Linked DNA regions of Astyanax mexicanus. The protein of the gene in region 1 interacts with the protein of each later gene in a biochemical or structural test. Links are inferred from orthologs where the notes say so. Each region holds a gene or a part of one and is shown on either strand. Other genes may lie near its edges.

Evidence for each region.
Region 2: the proteins of eps15 (region 1) and ap1g1 form a complex in vitro, tested with the Homo sapiens proteins (2 studies listed by BioGRID). The link is inferred for Astyanax mexicanus from reciprocal best matches to the Homo sapiens genes EPS15 and AP1G1.
Region 3: the proteins of eps15 (region 1) and tfap2a form a complex in vitro, tested with the Homo sapiens proteins (2 studies listed by BioGRID). The link is inferred for Astyanax mexicanus from reciprocal best matches to the Homo sapiens genes EPS15 and TFAP2A.

Annotation. Positions count from the first base shown.
Region 1 is NC_064419.1:46,970,632-46,978,612, forward strand, and holds the start of eps15 (epidermal growth factor receptor substrate 15), read right to left. Parts: upstream 3,014-7,981; 5' UTR 2,945-3,013; coding exon 2,918-2,944; intron 1-2,917. UniProt on the Homo sapiens protein: Involved in cell growth regulation. May be involved in the regulation of mitogenic signals and control of cell proliferation. Involved in the internalization of ligand-inducible receptors of the receptor tyrosine kinase (RTK) type, in particular EGFR.
Region 2 is NC_064423.1:38,501,197-38,508,907, reverse strand, and holds the start of ap1g1 (AP-1 complex subunit gamma-1), read left to right. Parts: upstream 1-4,692; 5' UTR 4,693-4,831; intron 4,832-7,711. UniProt on the Homo sapiens protein: Subunit of clathrin-associated adaptor protein complex 1 that plays a role in protein sorting in the late-Golgi/trans-Golgi network (TGN) and/or endosomes.
Region 3 is NC_064408.1:107,714,055-107,721,032, reverse strand, and holds the start of tfap2a (transcription factor AP-2-alpha), read left to right. Parts: upstream 1-3,959; 5' UTR 3,960-3,989; coding exon 3,990-4,043; intron 4,044-4,430; coding exon 4,431-4,850; intron 4,851-5,988; coding exon 5,989-6,040; intron 6,041-6,978.

The DNA of each region.
Region 1 (7,981 bases):
CGACATAAAACACGAGGGCACGACTTGACTAAACGCTGACTTCTCCCCTTTGCTGAAAAATCATTATATAGTTTTAAAAGTTATATATACACTTCAGCAAAAACGCTAAAGCTACATAAGCTAAGCTAGCTAAGCTAAGCTAGCGTTAGCTTAGCTAAGCTAACTCAAGTAAACAAGCATTGCTGGAGCAGCTGCTTCTGCTGCTTTTATAAGGATAAAAAATGATTTTTTTTACATTTAAGCATTATTCACGCAGAGCAGACATAATTTAATATGATTAAATGTGTTGAAGTTGTAAATTGTGCTGTTTTGAAGTCTGACTGGGCATGAATTGGTTAAACACAGTAGAAAAGAAAACTGATGTCCTGCTTGAGTTGTTCTTAAGTATGCAATAAACTGTTCATTTATGATACATGTGTGTATTTATTACTCTCATATTCTTATGAAATATGAAACAGCTTCACTAAATCACACACAATGTTTTATGTCTCTCATACTTCATATATCAAACAATGTGAGTTAAAAATAGGAATATGCACTGATACCCTTCCTATACTTATTTTTAATATCAACAGATTTTTTATATCAAAGTATTTAAGCAGTATTCAAGCAGAGCAGCCAGAATTTAATATGAATAAATGTGTAAAGTTGTGAATATTGCTGTTTCTAAGTCTGATTGAGCATGAAGTGGTTAAACTTAGTCAAACCAAATAAGAAGGAAAAAGTGATGTCCTGCTCGAGTTGTTCTTAAATATGCGAAAAAAATGCAAATTTATGATAGATTTATGTGAATTTATTACTGTAATATTCTAATAATATTAAACTAGAAAATTCAATTGAAAATAGGCATTGTATGCACCAATATCCTTCCTATACTAAAGCCAGATTTCCAATGTCAGGGTACTGACATCTATAGATATAAGCAAGGATATGGCTATTCTATGTAAAATATATTTATTAGCCATATTTATAGTGTTCCATGGTAAATGCAGTGTTCTGTATCCCAAATATGATACAATAAGCTTAAAAGAACAAAATTGCCTAGTTTAGTAGCTAGTTTGCAAGCCAGCTGCACATTTGAAAACATAGCTAAAACGCACACATACAAATAGGAAAGCATAAAAACAGGAACGTATCTATAGCATTCTATTGCAGGCACTTAAATCAAACAAACCCATTGTGATGTATGTGTCACAGACCCTTTAAAAACTCTTGAAGTTCTTTAGCCAGTTGAAAGTAGAGATATACACTAATACTCTTCCTATAATAAAGCAAGATTTTCAATAGCAAGAATACTGATACCTATAGCTTCATGCTAGGATATGACTCGTATAGTTACTATATTTATAGCATATTAGTTATAATATATTATTTATAGCGTTCCATGGTGGCTAATTGCAGTGTTCTGTATCCCACATAAGATATACCAAGCTTTGTAGAATAGCATTTACTAGTTCATTAGCAAGGTAGATAGCCAACTACACATTTAAAACGTTTCAGAGAAAAAAATTATTGAAGCATGAAAAAGGGAAGTGTCTCTATTGCAGATACTTGTCTCAAAAGAAGCCATGGTGACGTATGTGTGTCACAGATCCTTTAAAAGCTGTGTCTGTTTTTCTTTACTTTAACAACTTTGTGACACATAACCTACACATAATCACTACAGGATGCTTTAATGTATTTGTATTTATTACAGAATGTAGGAGAGGTTTAGGGTTAGTGCTGGAGATAAAACTACACCAGCTTTTTATTTAAGTGTATTTACTGTTATTTGCATTTAAGTATTCAAACATTCAATGCTGTTGTCATGTATGTTTAACATTATTATTATATTTTAAATTTACAGACATGGCCCACAGTAACAAACACATATAAATTAGCTTCTTATTGAATTGAAATTGGTTTCAATATTTAAAAAATGGGTCTGGGCACTTATATGGTTAAATATACGGAGCTAGCTATATATTGGTTGTATTCAGAGACCACTTCAGTTTCTTTTTCAGTTTTGCTATTTAAAGGTATATGTTTGAGTAAAATAAACATTGTTGTTTTATTCTATAAACTACTGACAACCTTCATCCCAAATTCCAAATAACAATATTGTCATTTGGAGCATTTTTTGCAGAAAATGAGAAATGGCTGAAATTACAAAAAGATGCAGAGCTTTCAGACCTCAAATAATGCAAAGAAAACGTCCACTTTCATAAAGTTCAAAGATCAGAACTCAATATTTGGTGGAATAACCCTGTTTTTTCATGCATCTTGGCATCATGTTCTCCTCCACCAGTCTTACACACTGATTTTGGGTAACTTTATGCATTTACTCCTGGTGCAAAAATTCAAGCGGTTCAGATTGGTTTAATGGCTTGTGATCATCCGTCTTCCTCTTGAATATATTCCAGAGTTTTTTATTTTGGTATAATTAAAGATTTTGAAGTGATCTCTTACTTTTTTCCAGAGCTGTAAATTAGATACTGATGTCTATGAGAGCCTGTTAGCTTCCTAGATTAGCTAACGTTAAATAAAGGTTGTTTAACAGTTGTTTATCCATTCTCAACACAAAATCTGTAGTACAACCGAGCACTGAACGTTTATTAAACGTTCTTCGCTATCATCCAAGTGAGTTTAGAGAGAAAACAAGGCGATAAAAGCTGGTAACCCACCCATTTATAAACTGACACTAACTACGCCCTTCCCGCAGCCCACAGCTCAGATCAGCCTGCTAGTTAGCATTAGCCTGTTAGCTAGAAACTTTTTCCAAAGCACTGTCTGCACAAACAACCAGAGAAAACAAAAACCCGGCAGAGTTTAACCTCAAAACCCGCCTAGCCCGGACAGCTGGACACCAGGCTGAGGATTAGCGGCTAAAGCTGTTGGAGATAAAGCTGTATTAACGCGCAGAATCAGTATTTATTACCTGAGTCAGGGAGAGACTGGCAGCCATAATGTTTCTGTTCCCACTAGTCCATCACCCTGCGCTGCGATAGGCAATGGGGCAATATAGGGAGGCTGGAAACCCCGGTACCGGATTTACTCCATAAAGGAACGGACTGCTGCAATATGACCTCAGTCTAGCGCGCACACAGACGGCGGAGCAAAAACCTGACATGGATTTCAGGTTTTAGGAGAAGGCTGCTGTATTTACATTCTGAAAACTGTTTAGTGATCTTACGTTACTTTCTAAGATTTTATTTTACATGTATCTCTGGGAAAAATTATGAGTTTCTCTGATTTTACCAAATGAAAAACCTCTGGAATATAATTAAGAAGAAGATGGATGAGCACAAGCCATCAAGCTAAAATAAACTGATTGAATTTTTGCACCAGGAGTGGCATAAAGTTATCCAAAAGCAGTGTGTAAGACTGGTGGAGAAGAACATAATGCCAAGATGCATGAAAACTGTGATTAAAAACTACGGTTATTCCACCAAATATTGATTTCTGAACTCTTAAAAAACTTTCTTAATATAAGTGTAGCCAGCTATTGTGGGTGTGTGTGTGTGTGTGTGTGTGTATGCGTGCAGGTGCAGGGGGCGTGAACGAGTTACGTCATTAACTAGGGCGCCAGCATTAGCGAGTCAGTGTGGTCCTGCAGGCACTTATATACGCACCTATAGGGGGTCCTATTGAAGGTAGCACTGTGTGGCTAAGCTAACGCGAGTAGCAGCGTGGGCTGGAGACGATTCTCTGAGCTAGTGAATTACTCAGTGAGAACAGGAGTGCCCGAGGCTGAGCGACTGTGAGTGGCTATAAATAGCAACAGTCTGTGTTTGTGCCTGGCGACGTGATATAAGAGGTAGGCTGGCTAATTATATGATATGCTGGGGTTAAGTTACACTGTTTGTTTGTTAACTCTTGGCTAAGCTGCTTGTTAATCACTACTTATTCTGACTAACTTTTTTTTACACTCTGTTTGTTTGTTAGCTCTTGGCTAAGCTGCTTGTTAATTCCTACTTATCCTGACTAACTTTGAAGGTATTTTTGATCAGGTAGGCTTAAACTATTGCACTTTTTAAAGTTCTGTAATAGTTTGATTATTTTAGCTTTGGTTGCTACCACTATATTTAACTGCTACCACTATAGTTAACACTAGTACTCTTTCGAATAGTTATCTGGGGGCTCTAGGTAAGATGTATGTCTCCATATGCTCTGTAATAGTAGGCAAGTGTCTGCTGCATTCTAATTGTACATTATTAGAGACACTATGCTTTTGAGCTGCTTTAGCTCCATGTGCTGTCTTGTAATAGTTTGAGTGTTTTAGCTTTGGTTGCTGCTATTATATTTAACTGCTACTACTACATTTAACACTAGTACCATTTCTAGAATGGTCACTTGGGGACTTTAGGTAAGATATGTCTCTATGTTCTGAACAGAATGCAAAATGGGTTTTATATCATGTTTCAATTGCTTTTGTGTGATCTATTTCTAATAGAGGTTTAAAGCTGCTACCCTGTCCATGGGCGAAGTTAGCATTCCACCTTGAGTTAAGTGGTATGTCTCTTCTGGTAATTGAATGCAAGTTGCACTGTTTTTATGTGATGAATGTATTAATGTGTGTTTTGTGTATTTGCATAGAGAGCCACAGTTCCAGTGGTTGCCAGTTGCTGTTTTCTGCTCTTTTTTTGTATTTCTTTTTTTTATTTTTTTATTCTACCATAAATTTTGTAGCACTAAGTGTATTAACTGCTCAGGTATTTTTAAGTATTGTGGTTTTTAATGATGTGCTCTGTATAGACTCTAGCCTAGTGGTAACCACATGGTACAATTAGTCAATTTTAGCTGTGGCTATAATTGTTACTGGGACTGGGGGTTTGGAGTCAACCATATTCGGCTAAGTCCTGTTCACTAGAAGTGTGATTCTTTTTTTTTTGTACTTAGTTTATTTTATTTTTAAGTTTGCTGTGCAGTGATTAAGTAAACTTTATTCACGTGTGTTCTTTTGGTCCTATTGGATTGACTTCATATTTCTCCATACCCTGGACCCAGTGGTCATGGGTAAATTGTGATTTTCTTAAATTTTTATATATATATTTCCTCTCACCCAATAAATGAAACTGACAGTAGATTTGACTTTGGTACGGTTTTAAATAAATCATTGTATTTTGTACTACAGTCAAGTTCTTGTGTCTTATTTGAGAGTTCCCCTTACTCTAAATAAAATAAGTAATTTAAGGGGTGGCGTAGTCTGGTAACCCCTAGTTAGGGGCCGCCACATAAGTTTGCTTTCTTTGCATTTTTTAAGGTCTGAAAACTCATCTTTTTGTTACATATACCTATTTCAGAGAATTGATTTGGTCTCTTAATTGTTTTCCATAGCTGTATATATATATATATATATATATATATATATATATATATATATATATATATATATATATATATATATATATATATATATATATATATATATATATACATATACATACATATATATACATATATATATACATACATACATAAATTATACCTAAGCATATTTCTAAATACAGGATGATCTCAATTCAACAAAATGATACAGTTTTTGTCACTTAAAAGTTTTTCATCTCTAAAAAAAAGATGTAGGATACTGGATAGAAAAATAATACAAATTTGATTTAAGAAAAAAATAATAAAAAAAAGTAAACTATATATATAATATAGGAAAATGTTTAAAATAATGAAAAAGATGCCATCTGCCATTCTTTTTGAACACAAATGTATAACCTGCAAGCTAAAATATGCACTGATGAATTTTGTACTATTTCCAATTAAAGCTGATGTCTGTAAGTTTTGATCTACTGAGCTCTGAGTTTCCTCTTCTGAAGTCTTCAATGCTCCACCAGCCGCTTGCGTTCAGTAAAACTGAGCCGGATCCTCTTTTAGAGGCTGTACGTGTGACGTAAGTATGTAAAGACGTGTAACGTGGCCAAAAGAAGAACTCACGCGAAAAGCGACCCAACACCCCAGTTTTTAGAATTAATATATGAATATGGCTTAGCAGGGATATAGGGATAAAATACAAAATATTTTATCCCTATACTTCTCCACTCAGAAATGCTTCTGCTTTCAGTTTAGAAACAAAATAATACGGACTGCCACTTTAACGTAGACTAAACTTTTATAACAATGTATTGCTTTATTGTACAGTATCCTAACTATGGTTCAACTAATATGTCTGTGTGTATCTAGAAATAACCCCAGCCCATCCCAGGTTTGGGATAATGGAGAAAAAGCTTGATCCTTGTATAGTCTATAAGAAATGACCATTCTTTATCGCTTAATCCTTCTGCATACACACACCTGTAAATACCTGCAGGGTGTAAATACCTGTATGTGTGCATATTTTAGAATGTGGTAATGAATGTGAATGTACTGTAACAGAGTTTATAGTTCACACAGGAACCTGCCAGTGCGGAACACTGAAATATGGACTTCACCATAATATATATTTTAGGTCACAAATGCATGAAAAAGCAATGTTTAAACTTCCACAGATGCATATTTTTGAGCTAAGATGCTTGTGCTCTAGTGCAACATCTACTGGCAGAAATCATATAGTGCTCCCTTAAAAAGCCACTTTTTACCTCAAAATCTCTAAAAACCAATAAGCTATTTGGTGCTCCTTCAGTGCATACATTATCTAGCATCCCATAAGATTTTTTTGGTAAACTAGAGCCCAACAATAATAACTCACAAATGGAGATAGACAGTAAATAATAATATTTTTATGTCTGTTATTACACAAAAGGTCTAATTTTATTTTATTGGAAATATGACATTTTGTGGTAGCCCTGAAGCACAACAATGGATTAACACGTCCAGTTAGTCTAGTTTCTAGTCTAGTACCTCAACTTCAGCATTAACTCACTAAATTAAAAGAGTATCAGACTCCAACAGCATAAACAGTGTTGTTTAATTTAGTGTGTATTTGTGCATATAGTAAAAAAGTGGATGTGAGGGGGAGACTGCTTTTTTAACAATTTAAAGGCTTAAATGCTCTCAAAACAGGATCATTTTGATAAGAACCTAGAGCTGCATATCACAATATTTTGTTGTATTGTGATATATATATATATATATATATATATATATATATATATATATATATATATATATATATGTTACATATGTTATATAATGTTAGATATACAGAATACAGACATTTTACTAGTTTTCTTCAGAGGTCCATGATCCATTATGTCATGTCATAATCATAGTACACTCTCACAAGTGAGAATATTCCTTTCATACTAAACAAGCAAAAAAAAAAAAAAAGCCTGACCCTTTTCATTTTATTTGATCTTTGAAATCGAACATCCTGGGATTTGACTATTGCACATGGGCATATTGCAATGATGATGATAAAACAATATATGAGTGAAAGTCATAAATTATGTAGATGTATAACACACAGAGTGATTTATTTTTATTGATTATTTATTTTATTGTTGATGATTATGACTCAGTGTCTCAGAAAATTAAAATATTATATAAGACCAATTGGTACTTTTGGCAGTGTGCCAAGTCCTGCTGGAAAACGAAATCCGCATCTCTATAAAAGTTGTTATCGGCAGATGGAATCTGTAAGATATGAAGCGCTGTAAGATTTTGTGGGAAAACAAAACTGCACTGACTTTAGACTTGATAATAAAACACAGTGGATCAACACCAGCAGATGACAGACATGGCTCTCCAAACCATCACTGATCATCAGTACATTTCACATTTCATTTATAGATCAAGAGAGCAGAGTCTGGAGGAAGAGTGGAGAGACACACAGTCCAAACTGCTCGAGGTCTAGTGTGAAGTTATACAGCAAACTTTTTTTGGAGATGCAGACTTCATTTTCCAGCAGGACTTGGCACACTGCCCACACTGCTAAAAGTACCAATTGGTCTTATATAATATTCAAATTCAAATTCCTGAGATACTGACTTTTGGGTTTTCATTGGCTGTAAGTGATAAATCAACAATCAACAATAAATGAAATACATGCTTAAAA
Region 2 (7,711 bases), on another chromosome or scaffold:
TTAAACGTGATTTACGGTGATAAATCACTGGAGTTCTATATTATAAACAGACAGGTGGATAACTGTAGCTTCCTGGTCTGTCACTTTATTATAGTGACATAATAACAGACACAAAATACACTAAATACTCTATATACTGCACGAGTTTAAGGTATAAACTGGTGTATAGTTGACGTGAATAATATATTTTCTCTGTTTGTATATGTGGAATAAATAAATAAATTAATGAAAAAAAGAAACTATTTATTTTATCTGTTATGTAATTTTATTTAGTTCCTTAGATTAGTCCAATAATAATAATAATAATAATCATAAAAACAGCTATATATTTTTTTCTCCTACATAGTAAATGAATACTGAAGTCATCCAGTACTATGAAGGAACACATAAGGAATCATGTAGTAACTTAATAGTGTTTAACAAACCCTTACTCTCATCTGGGGAGCTATTAACTTGCTGGTTGGTTTCTGAGGTTGGTAACTGTAATGAAATGATCCTGTAGAACAGAAGAAACTCTTGTTCTTCCTTTCCTGAGGTGGTCCTGATGAGAGCCAGTTTCATCATGTTGAACCGACAATTTTTTTTTTTTTTTGCGACTGCACTTCGGGATTCTTTCAAAGTTCTTGAAATGTTTTGGATTGACTGACCTTCATTTCTTAAATAATTTTTTTGTTTATTTAGCTGAGTAGTTCTTGCTTCTCATAATCTGGATTCGAACATTACTCAATATTCACTATTCACTGTATACCTGTAACTCTACCTCTTCACTACTTTACTTTAACTGATGCTCTCAAACACTTTATTAAGAGACAAGAAATTCAAGTAATTAACTCTTGACGAGTTCAGCACAGCTGTTAACTGAAAGCCATTGTGTGATGCAAAATGTGGAAAGCTGTCATCTAAGCAAGAGGTGCTACTTTGAAAAATCTTTTTGAAAAAAATCATATTTTTAATGACTTAATATTAATAATATTAATCTTCAATTTATTTTGCCACTGAATGTAAGGTGTTTCCAAACATTTGACTGATAATGTATAATATACTGTATATTATATTATCTACTTATTTCCTATTTAATATCTATATATTGCTGTTATTGAAAGATTGGTTGATTCCTTCTATATATTGTATTATAAAAATCAGAGTATAGAGTTGATTATTTAGAGAGATGAATTCAGAAAAAATTAAATAAATATAATAAAAATTCTCTGTAATATTTAATCTGTGCAGTTCTGTGTTGATTAAATATTGTGATGTGAGCAATATTTGTACGTTTTCTTTTGGAAGCTGTGGTGAAAACTATAATTCTAAAGTTTCTCTTACATGCATTATAATGCATTCTAAGTAAAGACACAAAACATACGCAATTATCTGTGAATTTGTTTGTTCTTGCCAGAAATGTCATATTAATAACGAAGAATTAGCTAAAGTAGAATATGTTAAAAGTCTGAGAATTGTTTTAAACTGAAAGAGTCTGTAATTTCTAAAAGGTTATGGTGATTTTTCTTTGGCAAGCGGTTTTGCTGTTTATTATTTATTCACCATAAATGTACAGCATGTATCATATCAGTAGCCATGAATGATTAGTCATAAATATTAGTCATGCTTTATTTGTTTAAATCCAAGTGCAATTAGCAGAATTCATTACAAGAAACTAAAGTAAAGCTCAGCTCACTGGTGCCACTTAATCATTTAAGGTTGACTTTTTGTCATGCTTGGTCTTGCTGGTAAACCAGATTTGGTGAAGTTTGATTATACTGGTTATTTAGCTTGGTCAGGTTGATTATGGTAAAAATTTAACCCAGTTTAACCAGTTTGAGCTTCAGTAAGGATGTTCCTGCAGTCATGTAAGTGCTGTTTAATGTTGTTAATTGTATTGTTTCTATCCTATGTATGTACATTTATTTAAGAATATTAGAAATATTATTATTATAAATAACATTGTTCAAATGACTGTTCTTTTCTATTTATTAATAATTATTTATTATTATAGACTACCGGTCAAAAGTTTTAGAACACCCCCAATTATTTTCCCTGGAAATGGTACAACATCTAGTGTACAAAATATTAGTATATTGTAAAGGTGTATTGTAAAAAAAAAAAAAAAAACCTGAAAAATCTAATTTAAAAAAGAGGGGTGAGCTTTAGCGAACAGTTAATTGGTAAACAGCTTACAGCTGGCCCGAATCAATGCAAATAAAATTAGCTTTGAAAATTGATTTTAAAAAATGTTCATTTCCAAAGCTATTAGTGTATTAAATATACACCATTTTTTTAATTCTAAATTCTGGGCATTTAATGTATAAACATAGACTATTTTTATATAATTCTTTTTATTTATTCACAATAATTAATGCTATACATACTGCAAAAAATATAAATCTAAATTAATAACATTTCTTACTCTGATATTATTAAAGTAACATTGCAGTAATTAATAACTTATTTTTAATTTCCTTGTACTTGTTTTAAGTAGAGATGCACAGATGTTTCTGATGTTTCGAATTTCGGGGGCCGATGCTTATATACGATATTATACATTTATGTATCTGCCGATGCAGATACAATACAATTAAGGGTTTCTCCTGAGAATTTTGTTTTCACATTTTTTGGTTTCAGATTTACTTAGCCATTTTTTTCTTAAATACACTGTTAACAGCTTTAAACCCTAATTTTTAATTATTAAATTAAATAAAGCAGTATATGTACTGAAACTAATTAAAAAAAATTAAACACTACCTAAAATAAATGGATTTAAAAGTAGCACAGCCCATTGTAGTAGAATGACCAGCGTCGCTTAATCCTTTTAAAGTTTATGATAAGTACTTAAGGAAAATAGTTTAGAAATGCAATAACTTTTGATTATTCTAAAATGCAAATATCCAAATTATGAAGAAAAACATATTAAATTATTTAGTAAACAAAAATGTATTAAACAAACCAGAATATGTTTTAAATTTTAGATTTGTTAATGTAGCTCTTCTTGATTAGATAACAACTTCACACATCTCTGCTGGATTTTTTCAGTCAGCTTTATGAGGTAGATTCACCTGGATTTCAGGCTTTCAGTTAACAGCTGTGCTGAACTCATCAAGAGTTAATTACTTGAATTTCTTGTCTCTTAATGTGTTTGAGAGCATCAGTTGTAAATAGTGAAGACTAAAGACTACTCAACTAAATAAAGAAAAAAATGACTTTAAGAAGAAATGAAGGTCAGTCAATTCAAAACATTTCAAGGACTTTGAAAGAATCCTCAAGTGCAGTCGCAAAAAAACATTATGATGGAACTGATACTCATCAGGACCGCCCCAGGAAAGGAAAAGCAAGAGTTCCCTCTGTTGTACAGGATGCGTTAATCAGAGTTACCATCCTCAGAAACCACAAGTTAACAGCTCCCCAGATAAGAGCACCTAAATGCTTTTTCACAGGTTTGTTTAACACTTTTAAATTACTACATGATTCCTTATGTTTTCCTTCATAGTTTGAATCACTTCAATATTCATTTACAATGTAGAGAAAGGAAAGAAAAATAACAACATTGTGAGAAGATGTGACAATGAGACAATGAGAACAATGAGAAGATGTGTCCAAACGACTGGCAATGTATGTCTTTTTTTTCTAAAATTCTGACAACCATGCAAAATGAGAAATTTCACATATTGTTCTTAAAAAAGCAATCAATTATACTGATATACTGAATATTCCAAGATCATCGTGCATCTATAGTTTTAAGTGATTTAATGTGCTAAAACGGTCTTATTGTACTGGCAAATAATATTGCTTACTCCAGGAAATAACTGATAATATTTTACTTTTAGTCAAGACATAATGATGAAACAGACACAACAATCTGCCATAGAATAAGACACTTTCAGTAGTTTAAATTATTCAGTAGATTAAATTACTTAAAATGTTATATATATATATATATATATATAACTACTTAAAATAATATATAAATTACTTAAAATCTTTTATATATATATATATATATATATATATATATATATAACATTTTAAGTAATTTAATCTACTGAATAATTTAAACTACTGAAAGTGTCTTATTCTATGGCAGATTGTTGTGTCTGTTTCATCATTATGTCTTGACTAAAAGTAAAATATTATCAGTTATTTCCTGGAGTAAGCAATATTATTTGCCAGTACAATAAGACCGTTTTAGCACATTAAATCACTTAAAACTATAGATGCACGATTATCTTGAAATATTCAGTATATCAGTATAATTGATTGCTTTTTTTTAATAATTGTATAATTATTAAATAATTATACATAATTGTATAATTAATCGTTTTTTTTGTTTAAAATATTCACTTTTGCATGGGTATATATATATATATATATATATATATATATATATATATATATATATATATATATATAACCATGCAAAAGTGAATATTTTAAACTTGAATTTAGAGGAATTTACTAATTCTATAATTGTACACAATATCTTATATCAAATTAAATTAATTTAAAATATATTTAATACTGAAATATGATACAATAACATTTTATAACTATTATTATTGGTAGAATAAATAATAAAATACATGTAATATATTTGTAATTATCTATGTATCTGTGTGTATAATATATGTGTGCTGTCCTTCCTGCCTGCGCGTGCATGTGTGCATGCGCGCGCGCGCTGCTTCCACCTTGAAGTTCGGTGGGAGACGATTCCGCGCTGTATCCTTCCGCCTGCAGTAGAAGTGCTGAGGCTAGGGCCGCCGCCATTTTGAATGTCTGGTCCGTTCCTCCCTCCGTCGCAAACAGAGACGATTCCAGCGCTTTCCTGGTGTCAGTACGGCTGGTGAGTACGGTGTCTTTCGGAACCACAGCGATAAAAGACCCGTTAGGACGGTAATGGAGCTCGCGGCTTCCCGGGCCGCCTCGAAACGGCGCTATTTTAACACTGTCCGCGGCTGTAAAGGCTGAGTAAGGGGGCTCGGGAAGTAGAGCAGCTAAGGCGAGTAACGTTTATTACAGGTTTAAAAAACTCAAGAACGGCGTTTAGCGAGTCACAAACTTAACGGCACGAGTCGGAGAAGGTTGAGTAGGCGAGGGTGCAGTTTTGTACACTTTAAAACGCGTGCTTAGTGAGATAAATCGGTGAAAATAGCGAGCAATGAGTGGCCGTGGCTAATCCAGATCCGTGGATTGAAAATCCAGTTCCGGCGTTTCGTTCTAACTGCGTAAACGGATATGCTGCAGTTCAGCTGCAGCCGACCCGTCGATGTAGTTAGAACGAAATTCCGGCGCGGAGTGTCACTTCACGGACTGGATTTGCTAGGAAAGCCTCTGATTGGGCATCAGGCGTGTCCATACTGACAAACCTAGCTTGTGCTTAGCTTGCTACGTATATTTAAACCTTTTAAACATGCATATATAAATAAATTCGTGTAAAATTAGCTTTAAAACTTGCAGCTTTCTTCATAATAAAAGGCAGCTGCCATCCGGGTAATGTAACGTTAGCTAGATAGCCTGCCTAGGTAGTTAGGTTGCTCGGTTAGTTAGCTGGCTAATTCGTATCCAGTCTTTAGCTATGGTCCCTTGAGGCCTTGCTAGGTAGCTATCTAGGTTAGCTAGCTTGCTATTAAGCACACTTCTCTCTGACAAGAACTAGAAACAAGGAGGAAACGTCAAGTTGAGAAAAGAAGGGCAATAAATGAATTAATCCGTTTTTAAACTGCAGTAAGTTGAAGAAGGTAGCGTTAGGTTAGCTAGCCTAGTTTACTACTAGGTAGCTGACTGCCTAGGCTGCCTAAGTAGTCTTTTTAGTGAACAGTCGAGCTAGGGAACTAGTTAGCTAACTACTGAGCTTGCCTAAGCTGAGGCCTTGTAGCTTACCAGGTAACATAAAGCAAAAAAAAAAAAAAAAAAAAGTTTTTTAGCATTAAAAGAGCAATGAAACACTTCACTCTGACAAGAACTTGGGAACTATGAGCTAGGAGGAAACGTCAAGTTGAGGAAAAGGTCAAGAAAATGTTTTAACCGCTAAATTAATCCGTTTTTGAGATGTAACTTAGTTAGCTGAAGTATCTAAGTTAGCCAACGCATATAACCAGCTAGTTATCTGGCTAATACCATGACACAGAAATATCATGATATTAAAAATTCATATCGTGATAATTGGGCTGTTCTGTCTTAAAAGTAGTCTATTATTTACTCCAAAGCTTTAAGTGTGTTTATTGTATAATTGTTTTAGTTTGCAGTTCATATGCATGCACTAAATTTTCTGCTGTATTATTTGCGGCATTATATTATCTAATGCTATATTATTTATTTTGCCACATTATGATTATACTATTATACTATATTCCTGAAATTAATGAATTATTTTAGTTTTTCTATATCACCAAGTATATTGTTATTGCCAAACAGTCCCTGAAATATCGTGATATTATTTTAGAGCCATATCGCCCACCCCCACTGCCTAACTTGCCTTTTTAAAGCTTAAGCTGTTGGAATGAGTGGACAACGTAGCTTGGAGGCTATCTAGCCTTTGGAGGCCCAATTGTGCACCTTTTTAAAGTAATTTAAAGTGACGGAACAGGTTTTGAGCATTAAAATAGCAATGTTATAAGTGTTTACTCACATTGAAGATCTTTGTCATGTAGTTTTCACAAAAAAGAAAGGGTTCAAACATGCAGATTTCTCCTTTTTAAGAGATCTTTCATCTGAGGTAACAACGACATTAGTTAACGTTATCTAACCTAGTTAGGTTTCTCCCTTTATGTCTTGCTAGTAAGTTATGTTTAGATATCTGTAAGTCAAGCACACTTCACTCTAAGAAGAACTAGAAACTAGGGAACTAGGAGGAAAAGTTGAGGAAAGAAGCTCAAATGTATTAACTACCTAATTAATTTTGTTTAAACTGTAGTTAGCTAAAAGAGTTAGCTAAACTGGCCAGTTAACTAGCTAGTTACCTACCTGTCTAACTATCTAGGTTGCCTTACAAGTTTGTCTTCTTTCTTTGTTATTTAATGTTTTATTGGTTTCAAAGTCATTGCAATTTACAGGAAATTAGCACATCAATCTCAAGAAACAAATTAAAATCTTTTTTTTACAGTGTTAACTTAATATTTAAGACTATATTAAAGTTTTACAGGGACACATGCAGAATTATGTGTGGAAAAACCTAGCTCGTGATTAGGTTAATTTATCGATTAACCTAGCTAACTAACCAGTTGTAAACAAACCTAGCTTGTGCTGAGCTTGATACTTGATAAACCTTTTTATGTAAGTATATATGTATATAAATGTGAATCAAGGTTTCAGACTTGCAGCTTTCTTCATTATTAAGCAGGATTCAGGTTGATTGAACTGTATCTAATCCCTTTCTGTATCCTATCCTTGGCTATGCTCCTTTGATGCATTGCTTGCTAGTTAGTTATTTATCTTTAACTCAAGCACACTTCACTGTGACTGAAAAAGTAGGAAACTTAAGAACTAGGAGAAAATGTCAAATCGAGGAAAGAAGGTCAATCAATTGTATTACCGCTAAATTAATCGGTATATAGCTCACCTATTTAACTAGCTAGTTACCTACCTATCTATCTAGGCTGCCTAGCTAGTTTCTTTAAAGAGGTGGGAATGAGTGAGCTGCCTAGCTAGGGAGCTAGCTAGCAAACTAGTGAGCTAGTCTAAGGCTAAGCTAAGGCCTGCTAGCGAGCTAGTATAGCTCATTTTG
Region 3 (6,978 bases), on another chromosome or scaffold:
AAACAAAACAGTCAACATAAGACTGTCTGGAGAACTTTTGTCCTGAAGGAAATATATATATTACAAGGGCTGATATATATATATATATATATATATATATATATATATATATATATATATATATATATATATATATATATATACTCTTTAAACATTGCCAAATTAATCATACTAAATTTTGCAAGTGGTAAATTATTATTATTATTTGAGAATTAAATCAACCAAGTAAACTGCACTAGTTTTTTTGTCGTCAAAAGCTTCTTAACACAACAGGTAAAGTATTAAAATGTATTTTCTTAAACCCCAACACAGGTATTATTTAGCATCGAAGGGCAGGACGCGGAGTTTTCCCACCACGATCGCTGAACAGCAAGGGGGGGCGCAAAAAATACACTCTATAAGCCTAAACATATCTGCAGAAGAATGCAGTGAGGTTGGCCCTAGTTTCAGCAGAGCTTGCTGCTTATCACCAGCCCGGTGTCTTTACGGCCCCATGCACCTCTGCTGCACTTTTCTCTGCCCTAATAATTGCTATTGTGAGCGAGTTTCATTTTGCCCTTTCATTAATGACAACTGCTTTCAATGGCTGTTTTTTTACCCCCCACACCAATGATAATAGCTACTGAAATGGAGAAGGCCAACGCCTTAAACCTGTCGCCCATGTGCCTTTTCGCCGTGACCCGGGGTCCCGGGGTGCTCGTGTCGCCGCTGTCGCGGGGCCAAGCCCCTCTCGTCGTCCACTCCCTCATTCACATTTAACGACCGCACGTTGTTGTGTTAATTATTGACAGCTCCAAAACAGCACTCTCAATGGAGCTCCTGTACCTGCACTAGAATCGACCGCTTTGCATAACAGAGACAGCAGCGTCTCGCGGGCTAAGCTTCTCAATGGGTCTAAAACAACAGTTTACGAAAATCCTTGCGCCAACAAAGTATCTGTGGCGACGGAGAGGTGTGCTGGATATTTGCATTGTACCATAAAGGTCACTGATATGCTAAAGAAGAAGCTTGGTTTTGAGAGCTGTCATTGCAGCAATGTTGAATTGCACCTGAAACGGTGCAATAAAAAATGACAGATGCAATTAGATGATAATAATAATAATAATAATAATAATAATAATAATAATAATAATAATAATAATAATAATAATAATAATAATAATAATAATAATAAATGGCCTATATATACTGAAATATAAATATAGATTTATAGTATGTAGTTAAAATATAAATGTTTTTTTTTTGTTTACAAGGTTGGAAATAGTTTTGTTCCTTTTGGTCTCATGCACATTTTTTTCAGCTGAGCTTGCGCATTATAGGTAAACTTGCATTTTGCCAAACTACTTTACAGCAAATACTACTACTAGCTGAAGTGGGGATGTATATTAGATGTTCTCGAGCTCTCACCCAGCAGATAGCCTACTGTACCTCTGTTGGAGTTGGGGAGGAAAACAAAGCTCTCCAAACACTTCAGACTTCAGATCTCTGAGCGAATGTTTTTTTTTTTGTACCTGAGTGTGTTCATTGGTGATGGCTAGATGAAAATCAAGCTGATATGCTAATGAGGGAGTTCTACCAGCGCTGTGCGAGCCTCTAAACTTCCACCATTAGAGGGAGATCTGAGCGCGCGCACTGCTCAGCCCGCCGAAGCTCTGCCATCTTGAGCTCTGCGCACTGGGTGTAAAACTAGGCAAAGACGCTCTATACTCACTTCACAACCCATGAAAATGCTGTGGAAATTAACAGATAATATTAAATATGAAGACTGTGAGGTAAGAAACGAGTTTATTTCTATTTAAGATATTTTTGTTGCGCTTGAAAAAAAATCTGCAGAATTTTATAGTGTATTTCATTATAATTTTTATTTAATAATAAGTAATGCATATCTAAAAGTGTTTCATATTTTTTACATATCTGCACGTGCTTTCGTTATCAAACATGTTCATGATTTTTGTTTAGAAATAATAACAATATAATTAATATCAATAACAATTATTATTGTCTCAATAACAATATTAATATATAATAGTATATATAGTAAATAGTAAATATTCCGGATGATGAAATCATGAGTAATACAGCATTTTTGACAAAAACACAACTTGCAAAATAAAAACCCCAAACACATTTGCATAAATAAACATAGAAACATATTATTAACTTTTTTAAATGCTAATGTCAATGTATTGTTATAATAATTATTATTAAAAATACAATTTTCATTACTATTATTAGCATTGATAGCATTAATATTATTAAGAGTAATACTAGTAAAAATAATAACAATATTAATAATGATGGTGATATTATTATTATTTTATTTATTATTATTTTTTTAATATTATTAATAATAATGTTATTATATGTTACTAAAAAATAAGTGATACTAATCAATGTTATTATTAAGTAACACTTGTTATTTTATTTAGATTTTAATCAATTAATTTTAATGCTAAAAATAAACTACCAAAAATTAGCACGGTGGTTTTGCTGTAGCTGTTTCTTTTAAAGCTGTATCGGTGTGATCGCTCAATTGGAAGGAAGGTTAGGACGGTGCTGCCCGTGTGTTTGTGTGGAGTGTGTGGATTGCTGCAGCCAGTCGAGCATGTTTTTGTTCCCCTACGGACGACAGACACATAAATTTTGACTCTTCTTTCGCACGAATTGTTCAAGCTTGTGTGATTTTATTTATTTGCTCGTTTAATTTAATTTACATCGAGTATTTTTGTTTTTTAAATAAAAAACCCGTGATGAACAGGATCGCGTGCGAATAAGCCGAGAAGCGGAGGGGTGGACGTTTGCTCTGTCCCTGTGTGTGTGCGTGTGTATGTTTTGAGTAAACGTTAAGTCGTAAACTTTGGAGTTTTTTTGGCCAGCTCATAGAGCCAATTCAGCTGTGTGTTGTTAGTCATGTGGCTGAGCTCTCGGGGAGCAGCTTGGGAAGGCCATGCGACAAAAAGAGAAAAGTAGTAAAAAGAGAAGGAACAGCACCAAACATGCTCAGAAATTCCCTAGCCCTCGTCGGATTCTCTTAGCAGTCTGAGGCGCTCGACGTTTTCTTTGCTTCGGTTCTTAGTTGGGTTCCTCTCTCTCTGTCGTTCGTTCTTTCACTTTTCCTCGCCCTCAAATCTTTTAAAACGCCCCCCTCTCTCTCTGATTCGTCAGACGCCAGAGAATGTCCCTCTTTTTGTCTCTCTCTTCCTCCCTCCCTCTCTCTCTCACTCTCTCTCACCCACTCCCCCTCTCTTTCTCTCCCCATCTCTGATTAGATATACTGATTCCTCATTCAATGGACGTCATTTAGTGCGGAGTCTGCCTTGAGTTGCTTCCTCGCTTCACGCTCGATTTCCGACCATTCTTCCCTTATTAAGTATTCGTGTAATATTAATAGTCATGAATATCTGCTATTAGGAGTCCGAGAGGAAGAAGAGGCAGCTCTTTTGCTAAATATGCGCCCAAGCGAGGGAACAGCTTACTGAGAGAGCGAAGGAGGCGAAGGAAAAGAGGATCTAAGAAACTTAAAAAACACTCCGATCCGCCAAGACCCTCCAAACAACAACAACAAAACTGCATTTATTTCTTTTTTTCTTTTTTGAATTTTTTTATTTTGGTTTTGGTTTCCGTCTCCAACAGCAGATGAAGAACATTGGGAATTTTACCCAGGCTCTGATGGATTATCGTGCTTCTTCTCCGCGTATTTGAATACTGGGACTCCGTGACCTCGACGCACAGACAAACAGAAAGAACGCAAGAAAGAAAGAGAAATACATAGAAAAGCCGCCTCAGTGCTGTGGGCTCTTTATTCCGGTTCGACCGCTCCGGCTCTTTGCCCAGGTTTTTGCGTTCTCCTTGCAGAAACGCTCGGAAATCTCTTCAGATGTTAGTGCACAGCTTTTCCGCGATGGTGAGTGAGTGCGGGGCTGGCGGGATGAAAGTGTAGAGAGGACCGTCTTTTTTCCCTTTTTGTGTATATTTATGTCTGCATCGTCATGCAAGCCATAATATCTAATATCAAATACCATTACAAAGACTTTTTACTGGATGTGAGCTCTTGATATTTTTTTTTCAATATTTGAATATATTTTTGTGTGTTTTTTTTTTTTTTTTACAATTTTATGTGTATTTTATGGGAAACGAAATTGATTTATGTAGTCAAAAATTATTGTTATTATTATTATTATTATTATTATTATTATTATTATTATTATTATTATTATTATTATATTAATAGTAGTCGTATCAGTAGTAGTAGTGGGAGTTGTAGTATTATATTAGTAATAATATATTATAATACTATTATTAGTATTATTGTTTGGCCACTATAATATGAAAAAAATCTGATATTTTTTGCACGAAATTCTTTAGAATTCTTGTTGCTGTCCGCCCTTTCTTATTTTCTCTTCTTTCTTCTCTCTCTCTCCGTCTTGCAGGATCGCCATGACGGGACCAGCAATGGCACGGCCCGGTTACCTCAACTGGGCGGTGTGGGTCAGTCACCGTACACAAGTGCGCCACCGCTTTCTCACACGCCCAACTCGGACTTCCAGCCGCCCTACTTCCCGCCGCCCTACCAGCCCATCTATCCGCAGTCTCAGGACCCTTATTCGCACGTCAATGACCCCTATTCCATCAACTCGCTGCACGCGCAACCACAGCCCCAGCACCCGGGATGGCCAAGCCAACGGCAGAGCCAGGAGAGCAGTCTACTGCACCAGCACCGCGGCCTGCCCCACCAACTGTGCCGGGAATACCGCAGAGAGGTTCTGCTGCCGTCCGGCCACGGTCTCGAGACCGGCCTTACAGACTCTATCCCAATCCACGGAATACCTCACTCTTTAGACGACGTGCAGGTAAGAGCAAAACTTCTCGTAATCCTGTAGTTTTGTATTCTAAAGCTTTTTTAATGGTGAAACTGTAAACAATGTATTTGTCTGGAAATAAAAGTTACTAATTATCGGGCCAACAAATGCGTGTTAAAATAGTTTTACTGGTTAGTACTGGTACAGTAAGTAGTGGTGACTTGTATGTATGTATGTATTTAATGTAGGTATGTATTTAATATGCGATTTAAAGGCATTTGAGCCTTCAGAATTTAGATTCTGTGTTTTTGTTAACCTCAACAATATAATATATATATATATATATATTAACTAAAAACTGGAAATTTGCGTTTCTTTAAAATTATTTTTAAATAGCCAGCATGTTTATCTGGACAGAAAATGTGCCAGTGTTAAATCAAAGCTGTCGGTGTTACATTATACACTTTTTAAATTAAATTAGCACTAATAGTGTTGTTTATACACTGGTGAATTTACTGTGTGATTTTGTCTTTTGCATTTTTTATATTTCAAAAAGACTAAAGTAAAAAAGTACTATAATAAGTACTTTATTAACAATCAAATAATTGCACCGTCATCTCAGGAACATAACATGCTATATTGCACATTTTGCTTTAATACTCTCTGTCATTTTTTGGACGTGATTCCTGGTTACCCTCCTCCTCTTCCCCCATTTCCTTCCCCTTTAATTTAATTGTAGTCTGCCCCGTGAAAAAATTCAAGCGAAGAGAAATAACGAGGCTAAATGACGCATTCGACCCGGAAACATTTTTCAGAAATACTCAGGAATAATACCATATATATTCACTGCGTAGAAAACATTTATTTCATTTATCGCCAGGCAGGTGGGATGGGAGAAATAAATAAAAATAATAATAAAAATAACCAGTATATTTAAATCGATTAAAAATATTTTTAAAGCATCGTTGTAATTTCTCATGTATTTGTCTTTTTACAGCTTGTGCAAGAGATAAAGTACAGTTTTATTGTGCTACACATCACTATGCATTTGGTAGTGGACTGTCATAAACAGTGATGAGATTCATTGAATGGTTCCTCGTTTGCTTAGCAATCTGATTTTGCCAAACCAAATAGAAGCCTCTCTACATTCTGAGTGTGTTTTAATGGCTTATTCTGAACTATTTTACAGCATGTTGAGGATCAAGGAATTCACATCCCTGACCAGACCGTCATCAAGAAAGGTATGCGGCTTTTAAAAAAACCCTGCGTCCGTATTGGCTCTGCACAATCTCACCTTAAAAATAAGACTTTTTGCAGGCCTGTTTTTCTAGAAAGTCTATTTAAAAGTCTAAATTATTTGAAATTTGCTACAGCTAAAAATCGCCCTGTATAGCATATCCGTAAGCGTGTGTGTCTGTGTGCATGTGTGTATTAGTGAGTGAGAGAGAGAAAAATGGTGCGTTCTTTATATCGACTAGTTCTGCACCATCATGATTGCATTTAAAATGGCAGCCTTAACGCTGGGCGAGCACGGATTTTTGATACTTTATCCACGAGAACCGTGGTTGATTTTCTAACAGTTTGGTGCTGTAGAGTTGGCTTTGTCTCCTGGTTGGAAGAGAATGAATGCATAAATTGAATCCGGGCAACTCGTTTTATTTTATGTTTTTTTTTTCGATGCGTTTGTTAAATTCGTCGTGGGTGAATATTAAGGGATGTCTTCTTTTTCTCTCCATATCTGCGCCGTAATTGGTTGTTATATTAGCAATCTCCGGAGTTCGCTTAACTGCCATTGTCTCTATTAGCCTCCGCTGAGCCATTAATGTCACTAGTGATCTATCCAAACGTGCGCGGGCCTTTGTCTCCGTTTACCGTGCAACGCAACTGGGCACCCCTGCAAAGATACACTACAACATGCGCTGCTCCTGGGTTTGTTGGGCAAGTGTGTGTGTGTGTGTGACAGAGAGAGAAAGAGAGAGTGTGAAAAAGAGCGTGTTTTATTCCATGTGTTTGTGAACGCGCGCGCGCGTGTGTGTGTCTGTGAGAGAGAAAGAGTGAGGGAATCTGGAAAATGTGCAATAAGCAGAATAGCCTATTTCTGAATGAGGTCTTTTAGAACAGTAGATGGGATGTAAAGATTACTTTTGATTAAATGTGACTGAACGTGACAATTAGTTGA